2 linked regions of the Arabidopsis thaliana genome follow. The protein of the gene in region 1 interacts with the protein of each later gene in a pairwise test. Each region holds a gene or a part of one and is shown in the gene's direction. Other genes may lie near its edges.

Region 1 (3,757 bases):
ATTCTCATCTTTTCTTCCTCCATTGTTATTTCGTGTATCTTTTTTGCTAACTCTTCCTCTTTCACTTTACCTCTTTGCTGCAGAGAGACAAAAGACCAACCAACTGTCATGACTCAATTTCCACCATAAAATTCGAAATTTTTCTTTAGTTTTAATCTAAAGAAACTCATACCTCAGTTCTAAGCTTAAACGGCTTCAATGAAGTGACCTTAACCTGCTTCTTCTTTGATCTTCTACTTCCCATTGTAGTCGATGACTCCATGCTCTGCCATAAACAGAAATATCAAAATGATTATTAAACTATACTGACATACTAAGCAAGACAGACAACCATTAAACAGCTAAGAAAATTCAGATGCTGCATGCAGGACACTTACATTTCTTCTACTTCTCCTGCCAGCATTTGAACTTCCACTCAAAACACTGAAACATCACAATATCAAACTATTCAGAACAAGACAAGTTCATAATTTCAGTGAGATCTCTTAGTCAACAACAAACTAACCTGCCACGGGTGCTGTCCCAGGACGAAGAAATCGAAGCATTGGGGTCTAAACCCAGATTCTTAGCTGTTAAGACCATTTCAGATGGACAAAACGAAGAACTCCATGGGTTTTTCTCTTTCTCACCCTCCAAGAATTCCAATTTCACAGGTTTCTTCGTATCCTCTTCGGTTTGATTCTCTTCTATCTTGTTGGCAGTCTTTGAATTACTAAAGCAAGTGAGTTTCTCAAATGCTTCTACAAGATTCATCACTTTACCAGATACAGGCACACTTTGCCGTGCTTCTTCCACCACCTTAGCTCTTGATCTCTTCATTGTGGAAACGCCTGTTTTCTCCGGTTCTCCAGATTCTTTTCCTTCTAGTTCATCGCCATTTCCGAGATTACAGCATTCCTCCAAAGCTTCCTTATCCTCCTCTGATTCAATTCGATTTTTGAAGAACTCCTCTTGCGAAGCACGCAGAGTTTCATATGCAACACAAACACACTTCATGTTCCCCTTCTTCCTCTCTCCGCATTTACAATCTATCTCAGCTGCCTTGGATTCTGTAATCGCTGGCTCCTTCTTCCCTTTCCTCGAATTCTTCTTCGCCACCACAACAAACTTCCTCTCTCTGATCCGATTCCGGGGAGAGAAAACCGCCTGGGTAGGTTTAGGGCTCGGACTCGGATTCTTCTGCGCTGATTTCTTCGCAGATTTCATGAGCGGTGATTTAGAAGGACTCGCTTGTGAAATGTTAGGGTTTGCATTCTCCGATGATCTGGAAATCTTTTGATTGGACTGAAACTTGCTCCGATCCTTCACCGGAGTCCCTGCTTTCCCATTCTTCAATGTCAACGACTCCATCGAAGATAACAGAATCTGGAATCAAGAGAGTAACACGAACAGTAATCGATCTAGATTTGAGAATCTCTCCAACAAAAAAAAAATTGATCGGAGGTGAAGAATTAGGGTTTGTTCTTGCTATGGAGTATTGTAAATCGAATAAGAAGATAGATTTGGGGGAAAAATGTGACCGTTGCGGCGCTCTTTGGACGCTCTCTAATAACGGCTAGTCTTTTTGGTGCTTTTTTAATAAATAAACTTAGATTAGTAATAAATAATTATTTTCCTAATCTTGTCCGTTAGATTGTCAAATTAATGATTATGATGATTTTAATCCACGTTTAATGCCACGTCACATCCGAATTTCAACACTTTAGCAGCGAGTTATTTTGTACAATCTTAGCCATTAGATCAAATAGATGCTGGAGCCGATATGATCCACGTTGTACTCCATGTCACATCAAATTTTCAGACAATAATTCTTATTTATCTAATATCAACCGTTGGATTAAATGATCAGATACTGACGTGTCCACGTATACTGCCACGTCACCTATAATTTCCCACTCTTTTCCTTTTTTTGGGAACTTCCTTCATTCACAAACGAGTTATCATTTCGTAGCCAATTAAGTTTCATCATCATATTTAATCACCAAAAATATAATTCGCATCGTCGTTCTGTTCTCTTGAGTCACTAATGGACCAAAGATCATTAGAAGCTGCTGCTAAATCTGGAAACATCGATCTACTATACGAACTAATCCATGAAGATCCATACGTTCTTGATAAAACCGACCACGTGCCCTTCGTTAATACTCCTCTCCATGTGGCAGCCGTCAATGGAAAAACAGAGTTTGCCATGGAAATGATGAACTTGAAACCATCTTTTGCTCGGAAACTTAACGCCGACGGACTTACACCGTTACACCTCGCCGTGGAACACGGTCACTTCTGGTTAGTACTTGAAGTAGTTAAGGTTGATCCAAGTCTTGTTCGTATTAAAGGGAGACATGGTACGTACACTCACTTATTTTGTTGAACCCTTAATTATGTTTCTTAGTTTTTTCCAAAAGCTTTAGCTCTAATCAATCCGAACTAATGTTATAATATGTATCTAGTAAATTCAAATCTTGGAGATAGTATTGAAGTAGGACGAACAGTCCATTGAATACTAGTTTGAATTCAGTCTATTGTTGCTTTTGACTAGTCATTATGTCGATATTGTATGGTCAGATCATGAACTAGATTGGTTATACCAGGAGTGTTTAATTCATTTTTCTTGTCCAAAAAAGGTATGACGCCATTGCTAGTTGCGGTAAGTAGAAAGAAGATTGATCTGATGTCAGAATTCTTCTTGGGTTGTCCCGAAAGCATTGTGGACGCAAATGTGAACGGAGAAAACGCTCTTCACATCGCCGTGAATAACTACGACCAAAGAGAAGGATTAAGCGTTCTTAAAGTTCTCATGGGATGGATCTTAAGATTGTGTCAAAAAGATGCAGAGTGGATCGAGACAAGAGTCATAAACCGAAGAGACAAAGACGGTAACACGCCTTTACATCTCGCGGCGTACGAGATCAATCGTCAAGCTATGAAATTGTTGTTAGAGAGCTCCAAGATTAACGTCAACATTGAGAACAAGAACGGTTTAACCGTGTTCGACATTGCTGTGTTACACAATAACAGAGAGATAGAGAGAATGGTTAAGAGACATGGTGGAAAACGTTCGGTTTCTCTTGTCAAGATTAAGACAACATCGGATATACTCGCGTCGCAGCTTTCTTGGAGAGAATCGAGACGGACGAAGAAGATTCGGTTTTATTCTTGGATCTCTGAAGAGAGAAGAAACGCTCTTTTAGTGGTCGCAACTCTCATCGTCACAGCTACATATCAGACGGTTCTCCAACCTCCCGGAGGCGTGTCTGATGGCGGTGGTCAAAAGAGTGGAACAAGCGGTCCGAAAGCGGGTTCAGTGGTTATGGACGAGGTCTACTTTATCTGGTTATGGTTGTGGAACAGTGCGGGGTTCTGCTTTGCGATTGAGATGATGATACGTTTGTTGAGTTTAGGACAAGAGAGTATGTTTTGGTATTACCCTCTGTTCGTTCCTATGGTCTTGGCTTACTCTGTTGCAGGGGATGTGATCAAGCCGAACGCAAGAGCGTACACGATCGCAGGTGTGGGTGCGATCGTGGTTCTTATAATTTGGGGATTGGTAGTTTGGTTTTGGGAATGGGTGCAGTCTAAGAGAACCAAGCAACGTGGACCCAAGAGTGGATTGGTTTGGGAAGGTTTCACTACGTTGGATCAAGCTAGAGGTGTTGCGCCTAATCGGTATGTGATTAGGTAATCTTAATTTCCTCTTGTTATTTTATTGTTGCTTTTGTATTTTTATTCTATAATGTGTAAAATCTCTACTCGGGGTAAA
Region 2 (3,356 bases), on another chromosome or scaffold:
GAAGTGCCAGATTTTTAGATATATTACTAAGGCAACAATCTTTGGTTGCTCAAGCAAATACTCAGCTTAAAATTCTGTATATCGTCATATTTTTGGGTGTAAAAGAATACTTCCTAAAGCCAGTTACGATTCTTCTGCTAATAGTCAATTGCAAATGTATTTTCACTACTGCTGTTCTTTATTGCTTTAAAGCAAGCTTATTGATGAAGTCATGTGAGGTTGCATAAGTCTCATTTCCATAGTTTTGGGGTAAATTTATAACTTTCTCAACTTACCGAACGATAGTGAAAAACAAATACATAGCACAATGGTTACAATAATCATGTGTTGTGATTACAATTTACAAATTTACAAGAATCATATCAAATAAGATTTTTTAAAAATTTACAAATGTGAGCTCAAGACTTTTAAGTGTTAAAGATAAGTTAAGGGCTGAAAACTAAAACATGTAGGAATAAGAGGACTGTTTGGTAAACGTTTTAACGTTTAAAGTCTTGCCTTTTGATATCAGATTTTTCTCAGGTTCCCACGCGCCGCCGCGAAACAGCTAGACGGAGAAATCCAAAATTCGGCGAAGGTTTGAGAAGAGAGAAATCTGAGAGATGCAAGGAGTGTGGAGCCAACTATGGAGGAAATATGCTGATTATAAGTACAATAAGTTCGAGAGATTTGCTGTTTGGGAAATGATCGAACCTTACCGTCGACCAAAAACCTTCACAACTTTGATTACTATCTATGTCGCCGCCTTTTACACCGGCGTCATCGGCGCTGCAGTTACAGAGCAGCTCTACAAGGTCAGCTTCGTATTGTTATCGATTCAGGCCCGGAATTGCTATTAGATTTGTGGGTTCTAATTTGATTCTCGTGATTGGTAAATGTTAGGGTTCGAAATGTGATAAAATTGGAAATGATTCATTGTTGATTACTAATAAAGGATTGTGTGATCATGAAAAGAACTATACTTGAATTGCTTTTCATGGGAATGGTTCATTAGGTCTTTCAATGAAGCTTTTACGTCTTGATTAGTATCTAATCTAATTCATTGTTCTGTAGTATATTGTATTCTTTGTCAATGTGTTTCTTACACTGTTTTGTGTTAGTATCAGTTATGTTTCTTGTTTGAGTGTGAACTTTATGTTACTCCACTCTCTGTAAACAGGAGAAGTTTTGGGAAGAGCACCCAGGGAAAACAGTGCCTCTGATGAAGCCAGTATTCTATCGAGGACCATGGAGAGTTTATCGTGGTGAGGCTATTGCTTCAGATGCTAGCAGCCAGTGAAGCTAACGATTAGGCTATCAGAGACTATGGTGAAGGATGTATCTCCGACTTTGATACGCAGATATAAATGGATTTATACTGGTTCACTAGTATATGTATATCAAAAAACTTCTTTTGGTTCAGTAGAATGTTTGTGTCTGTATTTCGAGTCTAATGACTCTCTTAAGAATCTATTTTCTAGAAATTACATGTAATGACAGTCTCGTTATAGTATAAGGATTTGATTTGAGAAGTTTAAGGGTATCCATTCATTCCTTTGAATATCTCTGCTTGTATCTGCCTCTCTTCTGGTGTCCTGAAATAAAACATTCCCAAATAAGATAGATGATCTAACTACCTCAGAAACATTGAGCCAACACAGATTTTTCTCTTCAAATTAGGTTGCTTCACATTCTTTAGTCCATATAGATTCCTCTGGGGACGTACTCTGTTTCTTTCCTTCCTTTTTTTTTTTGTTTGTTGCTTGTGAAAGAATATGACAACCTATGGCACTATACCATCCCAAGAAAATGCTTCGTCGAGCCTGAGCTTATTAGGACGAGCCAAAGAATTGATCTCGTTAGGTCTTAGCTCTCAAAGGCCATGGCTTGAACTTGTCCAATGTAGTGCCTTTAGCCTTCCTATCTCCTTTAGCGTTGCCACTGAACGAATCAAATCCAACATCATGATCTTTCGAACCAACTACATTGTTATCTTCATTGTTAGTATCTTCATCAGCATGCTTTGGCAACCCGTCCACCTTTCCGTCTTTGTTATCTTGATAGTAGCATGGCTATATGTCTACTCCCGTGATAATGAACCATGGGTGATATTTGGCAGTGTGATCGATGATTCTACTTTGGTGCTGGTTTTGTTGGTCCTCACGATCGGTATATTTCTACTAACAGATGTATCCCGCGGTATTGTGATCGGGGTTTTGGCTGGTTTGCCCGTTGTTCTGGTTCATGGCATGTGTAGGAGGAATACAGAGATGTTGTTCGTCTTGGAAGATGATGAAGAGAAAGTGGCAATGAACACATCATCTTCGTCACTTTCTTCTTCCTCTTAAGTCTTCACAATTGAGCACAAGATTTTCAGTTTTTCTTTCCTGAATTTGTCTACATAGTTCAAAACAACGCATATCCAGTGAAGGAACGTTAACATGCTGCAAAAAGAACTTGAGCTCTTTTGCGATCAAAATTCAGGATGTGGATATTGATGTACTGATGCATGTCAGAGACCTTGGTGACAAATAAAAGGCAATTTTGCGTGCTGATTAAAAACATTATCCTATGATAGAATTCCTATCTAATTATCTCCAACAAGCCAATACAATAACGAAGACAAGTGTGATCCTCTTCTCAGTTATCACTTATTACAAATTATCCAATCGATTCTCTCATTTTCAACAATTACGAATTGAAAGGTTGTAACTTTATATGAACAATGATCTAGTTTTTAATTTTATCACAACAATTATCAAGTTCAAATGCAATAGGGATTTGGCTATATATACCATTTTACTTTTTAGACACGACATGAAGAAGTAGTTAGACCATCTCCAACAAAGAGAACCCCAAAAAATTCTCAAATAAAAAAAATATTAATATTTTACTATAATTTGATTATACAATTAAATTTTTATTTTAGTAAAAAAATTAGATAATTGTAAAAGAGATAAGTGTTTAAAAGGAACTCTCTAAAATATCTGAGGTGGTTTAGACGTCTCGCTAATATCAACCGGCCTAGTCCCAGAGTGAATACAATATTTTTACATTTGGTAAATGTTAAGCAAAACCAACTAAGACTTATTCCTAATAAACATATTTAATTTATTTATTTCAAAGAGATAATTACATAGGTTTATATTGTCTATGAAGAATTATTTTGTTTATAATTTTTTTAATATGTTATAGTGTTCTAGAATTACCAAAATATAAAGTTTGTTAATCATGTTTAATTTAAAGCAAAAAAAGAAGATAAAACATAAGAAAAACAAAAGCAAACTACAAGCAAAATATATATAAATTTTCAAGATTTCTCCTTATTCCTCCAAACTCTATGCATTTTAAAATAGTTGGTTTGAGGATGTATTGTT

The links. Proteins that work in one complex are often made in the same cells at the same time.
Region 2: the proteins of AT5G15500 (region 1) and PRA1.C interact in a protein complementation assay, tested with the Arabidopsis thaliana proteins (one large-scale study listed by BioGRID).

The regions. Positions count from the first base shown.
Region 1 is NC_003076.8:5,031,713-5,035,469, reverse strand, and holds the start of AT5G15500 (Ankyrin repeat family protein), read left to right. Parts: upstream 1-1,929; 5' UTR 1,930-2,026; coding exon 2,027-2,342; exon of another isoform or gene 2,343-2,621; coding exon 2,622-3,679; 3' UTR 3,680-3,757. Other genes in the region: AT5G15510 (TPX2 (targeting protein for Xklp2) protein family), read right to left, coding at 1-77, 173-265, 378-423, 506-1,350.
Region 2 is NC_003075.7:14,532,418-14,535,773, reverse strand, and holds PRA1.C (prenylated RAB acceptor 1.C), read left to right. Parts: upstream 1-1,700; 5' UTR 1,701-1,754; coding exon 1,755-2,327; 3' UTR 2,328-2,837; downstream 2,838-3,356. Other genes in the region: EMB2752 (embryo defective 2752), read left to right, coding at 603-794, 1,160-1,279; AT4G29654 (Protein kinase superfamily protein), read left to right, coding at 3,320-3,348.